Kluyveromyces lactis: one gene and its partners. The protein of the gene in region 1 purifies or fractionates together with the protein of each later gene. This does not show direct contact. Links are inferred from orthologs where the notes say so. Each region holds a gene or a part of one and is shown in the gene's direction. Other genes may lie near its edges. The genes, in order: COR1, CYT1, COX12, COX6, TIM21, QCR6 and SHY1.

Region 1 (3,162 bases):
TTTCAAAACTGGCGGCAAGAACAACAACCGTTCCGGACGGGGATTACATGGGAGTTAAGATATTTGGATCCTGATGGACCGACCATTTTTCAGCGCATTTTGCTTTGCGGGAATAAGCTCCCTTCTAAATTTCTTAGAAACCTTGCTTGAAGAAGTCGTAAATACATGCAGGGATAGTTGGCGAATGAAATGATGATTTTATTTCCGAAGAGTAAATCCGAATGGATATTCGTTGCGGTGTTTTCAAGGCGAGAATCGAACACTTACACTGTACGCACAAACCACCAGCAAGCAAGCAAGTAATCAAAAAAAAAAAAAGTACTCATTTGGACTTTGGTACTTACCCGAATCTTTCTATTGTGCGGGTAAGTGTAATTTTATTCACGTGAGTCGAATTTCAATCTCGGTATTTGATCATCTTTGACGAACCAATGGAAATCCAGTTCGGGCATCGTATTTCACGGTTCATTTTTCATTCAAAGTTTACCGCTTACCATAGGAAATCGAGCATTTCCACTGTTTATTATGGGAAAAGAAATGCTGGTACCGATACTTCCGTAACTGCGAGATGAGCGAGAAAGAGGGATATGCAATCCCAAAAATGTCGATTTGATTGGAAATGTTCGAGCAGATGGAATTAGCAGTTTTGGGGCTAAATTCTCGTCCCGAAAAGTACTCGCTACTATGTAAATTTTTGTTTTTCGGACCAGTTTCTCGGCCAGAAACGATTTTAATAATTGTTCAAAGGGGGTCCCCTATTAATTATGTGGACAGGTCGTTGTCCAATGAAAGAAAATCTCTATGCTACAGAGAAGACAAAGAAGAAGAGGTAAAAAAAAAAAATTATGGAAATATCGAAAAACTAGACAGCGCTCTCAGTATCAACATTTTTCACTTTTTTCATATAGTGTAACCTTCCAAAATTAAAAAAAAATTAAAAGTAGTTAGATAAATCATTGATATTTGTTTAATGAAAGTACACTAACTTTATTTAGACCTGTTTATAGTTTTCTACTCTTGTATATTGCTTCAGTCAAGTGTGCACAATTTTAAGGAAATTGAGAATTCAGTTAGGCTAAAAACTATCCAAACTTTGCTTTATATTTTTTTCAGTGAAATACCACTATACTGTTTTTTGAATCGATAGTATACCAACAGAAAGGTTTCCAAGGAAAAAAGTAAACGAGAATTATAACTTCGAAGGTATTACATTTGGGAGCTCATTGACTTGTTTTTGATCCCGTATTCTATTTATTTTGCACGTACAAATTCAACACACTATATTGATTAAACGGATTATAACCAATTATTTGCCATAAGAAAGATGTTGAGAACCGCTACTAGATCTTCAATCTTGAAGAGAACCATTGCCACTCAAATTACCCCAAAAGCCATCGTCACCGAACTATCTAACGGTGTTGTTGTTGCTACTGAACCAAACAGCAACTCTGCCACTGCTGCGGTCGGTTTGGTGTTCGGTTCCGGTACTACTGCCGAAAACCCATACAACAACGGTGTTTCCAACTTGTTGGCTAACTCCTTTGTCAACTCTTCTATCAAGGATGCTCAAAAATTGGGATTCTCCTTAGAAACCAAGGTTGGCAGAGACCACCAATCTTACATTGTTAACTCTCAACCAGGTCAATATGCTAAGGCTCTAGAATTCTTGCAATCCAAGCTTTTCGCTCCAATTGAGGACTCCGTCTTCGAAAGTTCCAAGAGAGCTACTGTAGACACTGTTGCCAAGTTCGAAGAAACTGAACACGAACAACGTGTTTTCGAACACTTGCACGCCACTGCTTTCCAAAACACTCCATTGTCTTTGCCAGTCAGAGGTACTGTCGAAACTCTAGAAGGTTTGGAAAACATCGACTTGTCCAACTTCGTTCAAAACCAATTCAAGGCAAACAACTCTGTTATTGTTGGTACCGGTAACGTTAACCACGATGAATTGGTCAAGGCTGTTGAAACTAAGCTTTCTTTGCTATCTGGTGACAAACCAGTGCCAAAGAAGAAGTCCACTTTCTTGGGTTCTGAAGTCAGACTAAGAGATGATACTCTACCAAAGGCTTGGGTATCTATCGCTGCTGAAGGTGAACCTATCAATTCTCCACAATACTATGTTGCTCAAGTCGCTGCTGAAGTCTTCGGTACTTTCGTTGCTGCTGAACCAGCTTCCAACCTACAAGGTGTTAAGTTGATCGACGAAGTTAACGAATACCACTTGTGTGACTCTTTCGAACACTTCTCTGTCTCTTATAAGGACTCCGGTTTGTGGGGTTTCAGAACCACCATCACCGACCCACACAACATCGATGAAACTGTCCATTTCACTTTGAAGCAATGGAACAGATTGTCCATCTCTGTCACCGAAACTGAAGTCGCTCGTGCTAAGTCTTTGTTAAAGTTGAAGTTGGCTTCTCAAGTTTCTACCAACGCTGCTGCTGCTAACTTGTTGGGTGCTCAAACCTTGGTTTTGGGTGCTAAGCCAGCCTTGGCTGAAGTCTTCACTAAGATTGACAAAATTACCTCCAAGGATATTAAGGCTTGGGCTTCCGAAAGATTATGGGATCAAGATATCGCTGTTGCCGGTACTGGTAAGATTGAAGACTTGTTGGACTACGTCAGAATGAGAAACGACATGAGTATGATGAGATGGTAATCAAACTAAAAGCCGAGTCTTAAGATATTTTAACAATTCTTTTTATATTATATTCTCATTTCACGACGGTCATTCTAAAAACAATTCTCTCTTTTCTACTCGACTGAGTAGAATTACTCCCTGTAACATTTACTTTTGAGTTGTTATAACCATATCACTCGATGAGTAATAAGTTACAGTTTAATTTCATGTGTGTATATTCCCCCAAAAAAAGAAATTTGTCACGATCGATTTATATCAATATTTTACTGTTTTGGACTAAAGTCTAGGGTGTTTACTGGCGCATTCGATTTTTCGCTCTGTCACAGCTCCTCAAGATCAATACATTTAATGAACATAATGTATTTTTTAATTCCAAATGATATTTGAAAATTTAGGCTAAATCGAAATAAATCAAAATCTCGCTCATTATTCGTCGAAACAAAAATATGAGTTCAATGTCCTTATTTATGATACTGTCATTTACTGGTGAGCAATTGAATACATTTTAACCATCAAGA
Region 2 (2,789 bases), on another chromosome or scaffold:
CATACGACACATCTCTACAGAAACAGTACGTCTCTGTCTCTGGCTTGTGCGTCTTATCATGATTCACATGTTCTTGCTGAATCAGTTTCTGTTCCCTTTCTGCCTCTGGGTACCTTGATTTCATAGTGATCTTAATCTTGATCGGTTTGTGATGAGGCAAAGGTTTCAATTTCGGTTGTTTCTTCAAGTGACTATCGTACCTTGCCTTAATCTGAGAGAATCGCTCCAATTCTTGTTTTTCAAAATTGAGCCGTGAATGTTCTTGCCGTACTAACTCTAAGAGATGTTGCGCTTGTCGCAGCATCTCTTCTGAATGACATCCATCTCTATTAGTATCACCTATATCCAATGATTGTATAGTCCAGAGGGTGCGAATCACATCGCATGGTAAATGGTCCAGTGTACTGAGAAACCCGTACCTAACATCTTCCATTGTTCTTGAGCTGTTTCCTTCTAGCCGATTAACTAAGACCAGAATGGTCAATTCTATTCTAGGCGTTAGCATGTACTTACTCTTTCTTGAATGGCTTTTGCCATATGGATATGAATGGAAAGACGTTTTACGTTTTCCCAGAAGGAAAACATTCACGTGACAAGTCCCAGTCACGTGAATGACATTGATGTTTTTGGGATATGGAGTTCTGACCAATCACATCGAAGAACGTGCCGTCTTCTCATAAACCTCCGCACATATGGATATTTTCCCGTACTTAGTGACTTTTCGTCGGGAATATCGCCCTTAACACGCATCCTCCAGTGCGCTTAGGATAGAAAACCTTCAGAAAAACATCGCTTTCGAAAAATAAAAAAAAATACTTTAAACATAATCAATCACAAACAATTATCATTGGATTGGACAGAAAACTTAGCAGAGAAATGCTCACAGACAGCGAAAGGGAAAAAAAAAAACGGCTTGAAAATTTTGGGAATCGATTTTTTCTCTATGTAAAAAGCGATATAATGAAAAATATCTACAAAAATATAGTATATAATTCTTTTCAAACTAGAGAAAACTTTTTGGAAACGATATACATAGATTATTTATATATACGTTTAGTTGGTTATAGTATTAACCAGGGATTTAGTTTGCGCTGATCGATCAATCAATTCAACGGATTTGATTTAATATTTATTTTTGAAAAGAACGGAATAAAAGAAGCCTGCGTCTTTTAAATTTTTGTCCTTTACCTAACTGTCTATTTGTTCGTCTTTCTGGTACAGATATTAAGAAAAGAATAATAATACATTCTCAGGATATTATCCATTGTCTGTGTGATACGAATATAAATTCAAGAATATCAGCTTTGATTCATACAAATAGTTGTTAGAATATCAAAATTCGGGACATTTTTATCTTTTAGAAGAGAATTCAATTAATAGGAAACTAAAGTGATATCATAATAATAAACGATGTTCAGATCATTTTCTACTGCCGCTAAACAGGCCGTAAAAGGTACTTATGTTCAAAGAGCCATTGTTGGTGGTGCTGCTGTTGTCGGTATTGGTGCTTCAACAATGTTGTATGCTGATTCCTTGACTGCTGACGCTATGACAGCTGCTGAGCATGGTTTGCATGCCCCAGGTTACGGTTGGTCTCACAACGGTCCATTGGAAACTTTCGACCATTCTTCTATCAGACGTGGTTACCAAGTTTACCGTGAAGTTTGTGCTGCATGCCATTCTTTGGACCGTGTTGCATGGAGAACCATGGTTGGTGTTTCTCACACTAACGCCGAAGTCAGAGCCATGGCTGAAGAGTTCGAATACGATGACGAACCAGATGACCAAGGTAACCCAAAGAAGAGACCTGGTAAATTGGCTGATTATGTCCCAGGTCCATATCCAAACGAACAAGCTGCTAGAGCCGCTAACCAAGGTGCTCTACCTCCAGATTTGTCCTTGATCGTCAAGGCCAGACACGGTGGTCCAGATTATATCTTTGCTTTGTTAACTGGTTACCCAGAAGAACCACCAGCCGGTGTTGTCTTGCCTCCAGGTGCCAACTACAACCCATACTTCCCAGGTGGTTCCATTGCGATGGGTAGAGTCTTGTTCGACGATTTGGTCGAATACGAAGACGGTACCCCAGCCACTACTTCTCAAATGGCTAAGGATGTTACCACTTTCTTGCACTGGTGTTCTGAACCAGAACACGATGAAAGAAAGAGATTGGGTCTAAAGGCTATGATCGTATTGTCCTCTCTATACTTGTTGTCCGTCTGGGTCAAGAAGTTCAAGTGGGCTTCTATCAAGTCTAGAAAGATTGTCTTCAACCCACCAAAGAAATGAGTTTTTTTGAATATTAATGTCGAAACGAATAAAGACTAATTCATATCAACTCTTTCTATTTTATTCTCTCAACTCTCTACTTCTGTTTCTCCCCATTTCCGGAGAAACTTGCAAGGTCTCTTCTTTTTTGCTACTTGATTGATCAGTATTTGATTGTTGGTAATCAAATGTGATCTTAATCATTTAGATCAGAGATACATCAAATATATTCATCTTTCCACCCATACATCCCACACCGTCTGACACATAAAAAAGGATTCTAACAAAACAAAATGGCTTGACCATCAACCATGCTTAAAAACATCTTATAAAGAGGGAAAAGGAAGCTCGATTATCAAGAATGAAACGGTGAGGATTTAAATGAAAACTTTTTTTACGAACAACCCCTCTCTTTATTCTCATCTTCTGAGAATATGGTACTTCGGGGGAACAAATAGTGTTTTTTTCTTACGAATTAGAAAGAATTGAACCTCCTCCTTTGTACGTCATAATACTACTTT
Region 3 (2,116 bases), on another chromosome or scaffold:
CCAGTAAAGTATTGGAACATGAGGACTTGAACTCCATATTATCATTAATCGATACCTATGATAAAAATTCAGGCGGGATTAAGAATGAAGTTGGTAAACTTGAAATCGTAGGGAATTGTTTAAGAAAGATCGAAACAAAACATTGGGACTACTTATTTGAGAATCTAAAACTAACTCCAAGAGATCTTATCACCAAGTGCATTGCTCTATCTGAAGCGAAGATCTTGGGTACGCTTTTGATGGTATTCTTAAACTATGACGAGGGCGATAGTGAATCTAAACAGGAAGAGGTCACGACAAAGTCCACAAAACGAAAGAACAAGAACAACAAGAACAAGAACAACAAAAACAAGAACAAGAACAAGAACAAGGAAAAGAGCCATACAAACGGACTCAAGGAATCTGATAGTAGAGAGACTTCTCCAGATACTAGTGTATCCACCATCCTAAAAGACGAAACAGTCATAGGTCAAGTCCTCAAGATATTCGTATCCACTGCCACTCTTTCAACTACAAAAGAGCAAGCACAAGAGTATTGGGATTTCGCTCTACAACTAATTCGATTCTTAAGAGCACTAGACAGTAAGGGAAATACTACACTAGCACAGACTTGTCTGGACATGATCTAATTAATACTGGGAAATACCTTTTTTCTAACCGCACTTGTCACGTGATACTCGGCCAATCACAAGGACTGCATCGTCAAAGACGATTACATTCAAACCCCATATAAAATATGTATGCTCACACTATTCAAATCAAACATCTCGTGCCATAATAAGAAGATGATGCGTTTTCTTGCTGAATGGAAAAGTGTTACCATCATATACTGCGATTTTTTCGCAATTAACCAGGTATTTTACAGTTACGCTTTTAATTGAACGAAGCATATGTACTCCTTTCTCTGGTACTACACAGCTGTATACTAGGGTAGATGTAATATTCAATTGACCCCTTTTACGCTGGATATATACTAGTAATATTACTATTAAAGTCTATGTCTGCGGAGTATCTGTTTGTGCTACCTCTTCTTAATGTTACGATATTTCATCTTTTTTTTTTTTTTCATTCCTAATGAAATTTTCGAATGATATTTTCATAGTTTTTCTTGAAGCCGAAAAAAAGATTTTGATTATTCTAACTTTCTATTTAGTTTAACTGATTAGTTTTTAGAATTAAAATAAAGAAGTTTAAGAACTATTCTTTTCAATTCTTGTTGTTATTTTTGTTTTGAGTTTTAGTTTTAGATTAGTTTGAGATTTGTTTGTTCATTCTTATTCAAAGATATTTTAGTTTTGTATTGATTTTGTTCAGGTTAATTAAGATCACTCTTTGTTCAAACATCATCACCGATAAACCCTATTACAATGGCTGAAAATCAAGAATCTCCATTACACACCGTTGGTTTCGACGCTAGATTCCCAAACCAAAACCAAACAAAGCACTGCTGGCAATCGTACGTGGATTACCACAAGTGTATCAATGCTAAGGGTGAAGACTTCGCTCCATGCAAGGTTTTCTGGAAGACCTACTCCTCTCTATGTCCAGTTGACTGGGTTGAAAAGTGGGATGAACAAAGATCCCAGGGTATCTTTGCTGGTGACATTAACCCATAAACTGGTTGGAAATATGTGATATAATGCGATGAAAAAAGAGGCAGTTAATTAGTGAAGAACTAGTTTAGGAAAACTAAAAACAAAAAAAGATGATATTCATTTGGAGCAAGATGTGACAACAGATACTGAAATTATCTGTTATGATTCGTACTTAACGTATCTTCCTCTTTTATTATTTTCATTCACTTTCCTCGAACAATGGCTTCACTGTTTTCTGTCCCATCGATTTTTCATTCATTTTCTTTTTAAAACAATATATTTATTATCCCATTCACATCCGTCCTCCGTTTCCCCTTTCGATGTTATTGTCACTTTGTAACGTTTTCCACTCAATATAAGTTTCAGCGTCTTGGATCATCATTCCAGACCTTAGTGTGGAAATTAAGTAACATTGATGGAGATCCGGAAATCCCAGTACAAGTTTCACTTTTATTAAAACAATACTCTCATAAAAAAAATTTACAAAGAAAGATCAATTTAGAACACAGTTTAAACTTTGT
Region 4 (2,437 bases), on another chromosome or scaffold:
GGCTGAATCGAATTCACAAGCTGGATTTCCACACGCTGGCGCTGACACTGTGATGAATCACCTTAAAGTTCCCCCTGCCCAGACATTATTTCTAGTGTCTCCGCCAGCGTCACCTCCTCCGGGATTTGATTACTCTAGGCTTGAAGAATGGCCTAATCGTAACACGGGACATGAAGAGGCTGGTGCAGGTATCGACGATGATTCAAAACCTGCTGTTCGAAAAGTGTTTGACAATGGACATACCCGAATAATAGTTGAGGGGTCTACAAACTCTGAACCAAACCATACGGCTTTGATGCAACATATCAAGACCGCGATGCCACCTATCTCAACGTTTGACGATATAGAGGATTAACTATCGCGTTTAGAGACATAATAACCCGCAGTTTTCTGCGGAGATGAGGGATCGAACAGGGGAACCTGCCTACCGAGAAAAAAAAAACCTTTGAAACCACGCGACTTCCGGGTAATTGTATTTGTATTGAAGTCACGTTCTCCCGCTGTCCTATTACCCGACTATGTGGTAAAAATCATCGGTGACGAACCAATCATATGCCAATACGTTCTCCTTCCCCACAAACAAGACACCCTACAGAACGGTCGGACCAGTCTCAATCAATGCCCATTACCCCCCAGCATATTTCACGAATGTGTTTTATTGGATTCTATAGATACTGCTTGTGGGGTTTATTATCACGGACTTATTATCTTGTTTTATAGGACATTATTTCGAAGATTATGAGAGTTAAGGTTTCATTTCCTTTGAACATGAGATCTTTAATCTGACATCGCTCGACTGAAAAATGACAGGCAGCAGAAAGTCAAGAAATACTCAATTCAAATAATTAAAATCGAACTAGATAAACGACTTGCTCGTAAGTACCACATGTAGGATTTTTTGGAGTGTGAACTTTTGTTGCAACTCTGCCGATGAATTATGTTAGCCCTCTTTTTTTCTTCCATCCATTTTCCATAGACACACTATTTAAAAAACTGATAATACCACTTTTTTGTAAACTACTAAGAAGATGATGCATACAAAGAATAAGATACAATAAAAGTTGTTTCGAATGGAACGACTCACTCGAGGTTCAAATTTGTGCTATTCGTTTCGCAAGTTATTACTCTTACTTTCCTTTTAACAATCTCGTTTTTATCTAGTTCAAAGACGTAGCTATCCACTAGTTTAAGTATTTGAACTGTTTGTTGATATTTGTCCTATGCGATTTTAAGTATTTAATTTTTTTTTTTTCATTCTTCATTACTTCAAATTTTTAAAAAAACTCCAGAGAAAATTATCGGTCGATTTACCTTTTACCTAACCTATTTGATATATCTTTAAAGCGTTTTACATTAAGTTTTAATTACAATAGAACTCGACTTTGAATCTTTTGTGAATACGGTTTGTTATAATTCCTTTTAGAATAGCTATTTGATCATCTTAATACAGTGAATCAAATCCAAATCCCGAATCAACCAATACAAAGAAAAATATGTTGTCCAGAACTTTGTTGAGAGCTGCTATGCCAGTAAGAGCCGTTGCTCCGGTTATGATGAGAGCTGCTGTTGCCCCAAGAGTTGGTCAATTACAATCTCAATTTGTTTCTATCAGAAAGTACTCCGATGCACACGAAGAAGAAACCTTTGAAGAATTCACCGCCAGATACGAAAAGGAATTCGAAGAGGCTTACGATTTATTCGAAGTCCAAAGAGTGTTGAATAACTGTTTCTCTTACGATTTGGTTCCAGCCCCAGCTGTTATCGAAAAGGCCTTGAGAGCCGCCAGAAAGGTTAACGACTTGCCAACTGCTGTCAGAGTGTTCGAAGCCTTGAGATACAAAGTTGAAAACGAAGATCAATACAAGGCTTACTTGGATGAATTGAAGGATGTTAGAGAAGAATTGGGAATTCCTTTGAAGGAGGAATTGTTCCAATAAGTGCATATAGAAGAACATTTAATCTAAAGTCACCGGCTTTATCATCTTCTCCCATACTATTTTCACTTTTTGAGAACCTTTCACTAGGAAGGAAAGAACAATACTTATCCACAACACCAACAACCAAATGAAACCAAAATAAATATCATCAAAAACTATATTTACGAACGTGTCCCATCCTATGACACCATATATTCTTGTCACACATTTGTTTGTTTGAGGAGGTTTTTTTGGTGCTGACTACTGGTAGTAGCAGATACGAAGACATTATTTATTTGCCAGGACATATACAGAACCGTGAATACAAACCTTCAAGAAACATTTACAAACAATTCAAATAAAATCAAGATTATTATTATTATTATTATTATCATCATCATCACAATTATTATAATTATATATATGTTATACTGACTAAATTATAAGGAAAAGTAGTTATATATCAAACAAACAGCTATTAACATACGCGTTTAGTCTATTTAGCGGTAGACAGAAAAATG
Region 5 (2,402 bases), on another chromosome or scaffold:
GGCGGCCAGGCAGGGCTCACTAGTAAGCCTAAGATATAAGGTTTTCATGATAGAGTTCCTATGTAGGAAGTATAAATTTCGATTTTTTCATTTTCTGAAAAACATATATAAATTCGAGATGTACGGATGCAAACAGTCACAGGATGGAGCCTCATATTGAAATTCCTACCCAAAGAGATTCTCTGATCATACAATTTGAAGGAAAGAACAGCAGTATATAGTAGTTGTTAACAATTGCTAATAAATATTAGCCTCCATTGGTTGAGTTTGTACAAAAAAAAATGTAGGCATTGGGCCTGAACACCATTGATGGTTCAAGTATTATAAAGGAATTTGAATGAATCGGCACGTAGTATGAATTCAAATTTTGAACAAAAATCAGAGGAGCCCCTCCCGGGACTCGAACCCGGATCACATCCACCGGAAAAATGTATGCTAACCATTGCACTAAAGGGGCTGTAAAAAGCACTTATTTGCTTTTGTTCACTAACTCTGTATACCATGAGGATTGATTAATTTCAAATAGTATATTTATGTAAAATAAACGGTTTCCTGTTTGCATGCCATTAACTTGCTTCTACCATTATCCGTAATAACAACATTTCTCCCGTTGTTTTGTTTTACCTGCACTTTTAAGACCGATCACCATTTTCCATTACCAGAGTTGATAGTTATCATCAATTTCGAAACACCTACTGTACTTAAATTCAATAAAACGTAGCCATTATCACTCTTTCTGCACCAATTCATTCACCTTCTTCCACATAAGTATAAATTTATTGCAAATCTACCCAATATCTGTGGCTCAAGATGTAGCCACCAAAACGTCTTCCTACAGCTATTTACATAAACATCTGAATATGTTCATTTAAGGGAATGATCCCATTTACCCTGAGGATGTTATGACGACCTGTTGAACTGAGGCGATATCTCCGCAGCAATAGATTAAACAATTTAGGTCTCGGTGACACCTACAGGTTCATGCAATTCTTACGAATTTCGTCTTATGTTAATTCCCTCTGTCCTTACTCCGGTATATAGTATTCCAAAGGAAACACCGTCCTTGTCAAATTTAGAGAATTAAATTCTTAGGCTAAAAACTCAAAACTTCTTAAAACATAAGTAGTGTAATAAGGCAAAAGAGATTCTTTCGTCAACAGAAGACATTGAGTCAGAGGGCTGCTAACAAAGGCAATAATGTTCTGTCAGTTCATATCACGTCCAGCCCAGTCTTTGAGTGGAAAATTCTCATCCAAGACACTCTGTTTGCCTTTAATTGCATCTCCAGTCAGAATAAAACATACAGTTCAAGGATATTCTACGTTCAATGCTCAACAGAATGCAGGCAACAAGCAACAAAAAAAGAAGATACCACTATGGCCGCGAATTAGGGCTTTTACGACTTTTACCTTTTCCGGAATACTGGTCATCGGGGCCACTGGTTTAGCTGGAGTTGTCATCTATTTGATTGGAGCAGAGCTATTCTCTCCTTCGGGGGATACTCAAATCTTCAATCGTGCCGTTAGCAAAGTAGAAAATGATGAAGTCGCCAGAAGATTATTGAAATGCAACGATACGGAAACGTCTACAGAGAGATTAAAAGCGTACGGAGAAATTTTAACTGATGATCGTTGGACAAGAAATAGACCAATCTCATCGACAAGAAGAATTGACAAGGAGGGCAAGGAACATTATCTCATGAGGTTCCATGTAGAATCCAAGCAGAAAATGGGGATCGTTCATGTGGAAGCCAAAGAATCCGATGTAAATTACCAACCTGATTTCGTTTCAATGTACCTTGATATTCCTGGAGAAAAACGTCATTATTTGATTAAGCCCAAACTTTCCATTGTCAAACCAAAAGGATTCTTGGGAGTTAATTGGGGCCCCAAAAGAGACTAAACTGTAATGAATCACACCAATGGTATATCAAATCCTTTCATTTTTGATACGAACACTTTTGCATTCTTTTATTTTGTTGTTCACCCGCCATATATATATTCCATAATTCTAATGAAACAATTGACGCCTATTCTCCTCAGTGCAATATTGACTGTTAATATGGTACTTTAAGAAAACTTAAACAAGATGCGGGGTTGCCATGCTGCTCCGCCAAAAAATAGTAAACGAAGAACTTATTTCATGTCTATCTAAACAAAGTGCATTTGATTTATTTATAAAAAGAACGTGTATGTCATAGCTGTCAAAAGAAGCAGGATGGAACATATTTTTTGCGAATTACCAAGATTACTGATATCTTGATCATTGGTTGGAACTTTAATTGATTTTTTTGTGTTAACAGAATCTTGAACCGATTTGATTAAGGCTTGACACTGGGTTTTTGTATTGTAGCTTTTGAAGTTAAAATAAATGTCCTCATTGGCTAACGGACACGTACTTCC
Region 6 (2,247 bases), on another chromosome or scaffold:
GATCTTCTCAGAAACCTAAATCCTCTAGTGAGGATGACGAAAATGACGCTGACGCTGACCGTGAAAACGAACGTGACGAAGAAGACGATGATGATGACGACGTGGTAAAGAAGCAAAAGCAAGTGCATAAAGTAGCAGAACAAGGAAGAAGAAACAGATTGAACAATGCATTGAAGGATCTTGAGTCCTTGATTCCAAAGGAACTCAAAGACGTGGCGGCAATCCCATCCAAAGCTACCACAGTCGAGCTGGCTGCCCAGTATATCCGTCAATTGTTGAAGGCAAACTCCAACCAGTGAGTACAGACATCTTTCTCTCTCTGTGCCTGTATAAATGTATCTATAGTGTTTCTTACCCTTAAACCACGTGATATGATATTTTCAGTTGCTTTACATCATAGATAATTATGTATCACGTGCAAATAAAATGTCATCCATCACTATCGACGAACCAATCACAATCTACCGTCGTGTGTGACACAGATCGCCTTTAATAGCTATTCCTTCCGAAAAAAGCCAGACTCAGTGCGGGAGCCTCTAGCGGCTCCCCTATGCCCACAGCGGCTGTTGGTTCTCTCAACAAGTAAGATTTCAAGAGGAAAGAGCCTGTTTATTCGTCGTACAATGTGATGACCGATACAATGTCGCAACTGAAACGGCAGTACAAAGGCTGGATAACATAAACATTTCCAGCATCGATTATTTCATTGGCCGGCCAATTTGGGCAGGGAAATAGTCCGTTCCTGCGACTCCAGCAATTGACTAAGGTGCCAAACAAGCACCAAAACCGCTCAGAATCAAACCCTATCCAAGCTCTCTTAATTCGTGTGCAGTTTAAACCTTGAATTTTATCGGTTATCTATATGTAGAGTTTCCGTTATATGCTTCCACATTGATACGTTGATTTCTGCGTAATTTTTTTTTTTGACCTTCGATATTTTTTTTTTTAGTTTAAAGTATGAAAAATTTCATATTTCGATTTTAATTATAATATATCTATCAATCAATCGATATAATATTCAGTTCACATTACTTCGGTTATATCATATTTTTGTTAGGTTAGCTCCAATTCATAAGTTGTTTAACTAGGTTTTATAAGTTTTCTTTTCGGTTCAATACGGTATCAAGTAACTAATACGTCGGGTATTTGGTTTTATTCTATTACATCCAGTTTTGATTTTATTTTATTTTATTTTGTTTGATATACACAGAATAAAATATTCATAAGAACAATAATACAACCAATACATTCACAAACTTTGGGCTTTATTCATATTTATTCGTTGTATTTTGATTTTACTCGATACTAGAATTTCCCTGTCCTTTTTGAAACTATCAATTTTAAATTAACATACACACACATATTATAAGAGAACAGAATGATTTCCTCTATTACTGCTTACTTGGAAGAATTAAAGGATGCTTTCGTGCCAACTGTGGCCAAGGCTGAAGACGACGTTGAAGAAGATGAAGAAGAGGAAGAAGATGACGAAGATGAAGACGATGAAGATGAAGAAGAAGAACAAGGTGATCAATTAGATGCTTTGAGAGAAGAATGTAAATCTACCGAAGAAGGTAAGCACTTGGTTCATCATTATCTGGAATGTGTCGAAAGAGTTCAAAAGGCACAAGAAGAACCAGGCTATGAAGATTTGGCATACAAGGAGGACTGTGTGGAAGAATTCTTCCACTTGGCACATTTCGTGGATGAATGCGCTGCTCCAAAACTGTTCGATTACTTGAAATAAAAGAGATATCCCATTTCATCAATATAAATGCAAATGGAAAAGGAGAGTTCATATTCTACTTTTTTCTAACCTTTATTTCAGTCCTGTTCAAAAAATCAACCGTTATACTTAACACATATTTCAACATTCAATCTCTAAAAGAATTTAAAAGCGAAAAAGATGTTTCAGCTTATCGTAATCACCTAAGGTTCCCCCTTGCAATTTGAGGAAATAAGTAGAGTTTTCTTTTCAATTCCAAACAACCACACAATCCATCCCATACTATTATGAATTATTGACTTAGAAACACAATAAACTTAAAATTTAAAAATAAGAAACAAAAAAGTGAAGGAATCACAGATCGAAGGGTATCTGGAATCAATTTGAAGAACTGTACCAAAAAAATTCAGAAGAAGAGACTACTCCACTACCATTATTTTATTATTATTATTATTATTATTACTACTAGATTCGGTTTTCTTCCTCTTTTTTCTCAAAAGAATTAAGAAAATAACCTTTCT
Region 7 (2,790 bases), on another chromosome or scaffold:
TTTCCTTAGCTGATAAAGTAATTCCTGACAATGTAGAGTTCAAACCACAGACAAATGTTGAATTCTCACCACCATATTTGGATAACTTTGCCACATTACATCCTTATTGGGATTATAAACCAAACTCTCCACATCTACATTCAAGCTCATCTTCGGTATTCGTTCAAGAGATGGAAAAGCATCCAGATTTGACTCCTCCTGTGGGTTCATACTTACAAACTGAAGGCAGATCAGATATACAAAACATTGCCAATAATATCCAACTACAGACGGGGTTCGATGCTCAACATATCGCCAGAAAACTAGTGATGAAACCATTGATCTTAAAGATGGTTTCTAATCAAACTGCAAAAGGTAAAATTCCATCCTTCTATTCTCTTGTGGTTGTTGGTGATAAGAATGGTATGGTAGGAATCGGTGAGGGTAAATCCCGTGAAGATATGGCAGAATCCATCAAGAAAGCTCATTGGGATGCAGTGAGGAACTTAAAAGAAGTGCCTAGATTTGAAAAAAGAACTATTTTTGAAGACATAGACTATAGATACCACGGTGTGAAACTATTCTTGAGAGCTGCTAAGCCAGGTTTCGGTCTAAGAGTCAATCACGTAATTTATGAAATTTGTGAATGTGCTGGTATCAAAGATTTAAGTGCAAAAGTTTACAAGAGTAGAAATATCATGAACATAGCCAAGGGTACTATAGACGCTATCACCAAGTCTCAAAAATCTATAGATGAAATTGCTCTAGGTAGAGGTAAGAAAATTGTGGATGTCAAGAAGGTATATTACTCTGCTTGATTTCAACCAACTCCATATTTAAATTACTTTCACTTTTTCTCCTATGAAGAAACTATCTGAACAACCTTCACATGATTCAATTACGACCTAGATGATCATTCTCATAAAACAATCAATACTCAGATCTACGTAACCTTGTACATATTAATATCCCCACAACGTCGGAGTTCCAAATTCTTCTTCACGTGACTTTTAGAATATTTCACACTTTTCTGATCTTTAAAAGATTGGAAAATGAAGATGATGAAAGCAGATGAGTAGTATATCTAATCGCGTATAAACATGATTAGAAAAGCTTTAACTTCTTTGCTGTTACTAATTGTTCAAACGCATTTCAATTCTTAGCGGAAGCTACTAGTATCACACAATTAGCAAAGCATATGTTTCGCTTCATTGTGGCTAGGCCATTCACTGTACCAAAGGTAAGGCCGGTAAGACGACTTTATAGCACGGTCAGGACATCGACTGTTGACTGGAAACCTATCAAAACAAAGAAGACACCTACTGAAGGATTTCAAAAGAAGGAATCACGATGGGGTAAGCGTATTTTTCTAGGACTGATGATTGCCATGCCCGTGATCTCGTTCTACTTAGGAACCTGGCAATTAAGAAGATTGAAATGGAAAACCAATCTAATTGCTTCCTGCGAAGACAAATTAACCTACGATCCTATTCCGTTACCTAAAACGTTTACACCGGATATGTGCGAAGACTGGGAATACCGCAAGTGTACTATGACCGGTAGATTCTTGCATGATGAAGAGATTTTTGTCGGCCCCCGTGTTAGAGGAGGGATCAAGGGGTACGTTTTATATACGCCTTTCATCAGAAAGGATACGGGAGAAAGAATTTTGATTGAACGTGGTTGGATCTCGGAGGAGAAAATCGTTCCATCATCTCGTAACTTGCAACATTTGTCTTTACCTCAAGGCGATAACGTGACAATTACAGTGTTAGTGCGTGCAGCTAAAGATTTGACATCAATGCAATGGAAGAAGGAAGACAGGGAGAGTAGATTGTGGCAAGTCTTGGATATTAAGGATATGACAGAGATGACACATACTTCTCCTATTCATTACCAAGCTCTTTACGATCTGAAAGATCACCATTGGGATGAAGAATCAAAATCTGAGGGTATCGATAACAAAAACCAATCATCTTGGAAATTCTGGTCTAAAAAGAAAACCGAAACAGAACCACAACAAGAAGAATCCGAGAAACCACACGTCAACACGAAGAAAGTAAATACAGCAGATTCGGAGACAGGATTGGAATTTAACGAGTTCCAATTCGTTAAAGCGGGAGTGCCTATTGGTAAAGCACCAAAGATTGATTTGAAGAATAATCATTTACAATATTTAATTACTTGGTATGGGTTATCTCTGCTTTCATCTATCTTCCTTATCATTGCACTAAGACGTGGTCGTGGTTCCGCTATGTCACAGGATGAAATAAAGAGGCAAAAGCTAAAACATGCCAAGAAGTTCATGTGATAAAGAAACACATATTGATATTCTCAGGAATTTCTATCTCGATCCCATCATTTCCTTCAATTTTCTAGTATTCGAGATACTCAAATTCCAATAAATTATATTCAAGCAGTTAATTACTAAACACATAGTAGTATCAACCTTGTTTGTACCTGTAAATACTATTATAGCTATTTTGAATGATTTTCATTCCTGTTGATGAATACTAACTAACTATCGTTGAAATACTTGTACATCGAAAATCGAAAACGTAAATAAAGTAAAGCAAAACAAAAACACGAACAGTAAGGTGTCTCCAAGCAGACAGACGGAATGCGATAGTGTCTCTTTGGGCAACCTGGTATCTAATTTGACATCTCATAGACAGTCTGAGGTAAATTCATTACTTGTTTTTTTTTTTTTTGACCTTTCATCTTAAATTCTCAGGGCTACTTGGCACTATTCCAAACTCAACATAAAACTGCTGGATTCATCTGCTCATAAGATATGTCTCAAAGGCCAAA

What was found.
Region 2: the proteins of COR1 (region 1) and CYT1 purify together in Saccharomyces cerevisiae (affinity purification with western blotting; 7 studies listed by BioGRID, with this or other methods). This does not show direct contact. The link is inferred for Kluyveromyces lactis from reciprocal best matches to the Saccharomyces cerevisiae genes COR1 and CYT1.
Region 3: the proteins of COR1 (region 1) and COX12 purify together in Saccharomyces cerevisiae (affinity purification with mass spectrometry, with the first as the bait; 3 studies listed by BioGRID). This does not show direct contact. The link is inferred for Kluyveromyces lactis from reciprocal best matches to the Saccharomyces cerevisiae genes COR1 and COX12.
Region 4: the proteins of COR1 (region 1) and COX6 purify together in Saccharomyces cerevisiae (affinity purification with mass spectrometry; 4 studies listed by BioGRID, with this or other methods). This does not show direct contact. The link is inferred for Kluyveromyces lactis from reciprocal best matches to the Saccharomyces cerevisiae genes COR1 and COX6.
Region 5: the proteins of COR1 (region 1) and TIM21 purify together in Saccharomyces cerevisiae (affinity purification with western blotting; 3 studies listed by BioGRID, with this or other methods). This does not show direct contact. The link is inferred for Kluyveromyces lactis from reciprocal best matches to the Saccharomyces cerevisiae genes COR1 and TIM21.
Region 6: the proteins of COR1 (region 1) and QCR6 purify together in Saccharomyces cerevisiae (affinity purification with mass spectrometry; 4 studies listed by BioGRID, with this or other methods). This does not show direct contact. The link is inferred for Kluyveromyces lactis from reciprocal best matches to the Saccharomyces cerevisiae genes COR1 and QCR6.
Region 7: the proteins of COR1 (region 1) and SHY1 purify together in Saccharomyces cerevisiae (affinity purification with mass spectrometry; 4 studies listed by BioGRID, with this or other methods). This does not show direct contact. The link is inferred for Kluyveromyces lactis from reciprocal best matches to the Saccharomyces cerevisiae genes COR1 and SHY1.

The regions. Positions count from the first base shown.
Region 1 is NC_006041.1:507,834-510,995, forward strand, and holds COR1 (ubiquinol--cytochrome-c reductase subunit COR1), read left to right. Parts: upstream 1-1,324; coding exon 1,325-2,662; downstream 2,663-3,162. UniProt on the Saccharomyces cerevisiae protein: Component of the ubiquinol-cytochrome c oxidoreductase, a multisubunit transmembrane complex that is part of the mitochondrial electron transport chain which drives oxidative phosphorylation.
Region 2 is NC_006042.1:1,525,482-1,528,270, forward strand, and holds CYT1 (ubiquinol--cytochrome-c reductase catalytic subunit CYT1), read left to right. Parts: upstream 1-1,410; coding exon 1,411-2,289; downstream 2,290-2,789. Other genes in the region: YNG1 (Yng1p), read right to left, coding at 1-505. UniProt on the Saccharomyces cerevisiae protein: Component of the ubiquinol-cytochrome c oxidoreductase, a multisubunit transmembrane complex that is part of the mitochondrial electron transport chain which drives oxidative phosphorylation.
Region 3 is NC_006042.1:1,581,483-1,583,598, forward strand, and holds COX12 (cytochrome c oxidase subunit VIb), read left to right. Parts: upstream 1-1,367; coding exon 1,368-1,616; downstream 1,617-2,116. Other genes in the region: RIC1 (Ric1p), read left to right, coding at 1-629. UniProt on the Saccharomyces cerevisiae protein: Component of the cytochrome c oxidase, the last enzyme in the mitochondrial electron transport chain which drives oxidative phosphorylation.
Region 4 is NC_006042.1:2,036,121-2,038,557, reverse strand, and holds COX6 (cytochrome c oxidase subunit VI), read left to right. Parts: upstream 1-1,493; coding exon 1,494-1,937; downstream 1,938-2,437. UniProt on the Saccharomyces cerevisiae protein: Component of the cytochrome c oxidase, the last enzyme in the mitochondrial electron transport chain which drives oxidative phosphorylation.
Region 5 is NC_006038.1:517,959-520,360, forward strand, and holds TIM21 (Tim21p), read left to right. Parts: upstream 1-1,197; coding exon 1,198-1,902; downstream 1,903-2,402. Other genes in the region: GAS2 (1,3-beta-glucanosyltransferase), read right to left, coding at 2,175-2,402. UniProt on the Saccharomyces cerevisiae protein: Essential component of the TIM23 complex, a complex that mediates the translocation of transit peptide-containing proteins across the mitochondrial inner membrane. Required to keep the TOM and the TIM23 complexes in close contact.
Region 6 is NC_006040.1:1,355,556-1,357,802, reverse strand, and holds QCR6 (ubiquinol--cytochrome-c reductase subunit 6), read left to right. Parts: upstream 1-1,378; coding exon 1,379-1,747; downstream 1,748-2,247. Other genes in the region: phosphate-sensing transcription factor PHO4, read left to right, coding at 1-299. UniProt on the Saccharomyces cerevisiae protein: Component of the ubiquinol-cytochrome c oxidoreductase, a multisubunit transmembrane complex that is part of the mitochondrial electron transport chain which drives oxidative phosphorylation.
Region 7 is NC_006038.1:1,000,815-1,003,604, reverse strand, and holds SHY1 (cytochrome oxidase assembly protein SHY1), read left to right. Parts: upstream 1-1,177; coding exon 1,178-2,290; downstream 2,291-2,790. Other genes in the region: MRPS5 (mitochondrial 37S ribosomal protein uS5m), read left to right, coding at 1-797; DAM1 (Dam1p), read left to right, coding at 2,774-2,790. UniProt on the Saccharomyces cerevisiae protein: Required for efficient assembly of cytochrome c oxidase in the mitochondrial inner membrane. Involved in a step that couples MSS51-COX14-dependent regulation of COX1 translation to early steps of cytochrome c oxidase assembly.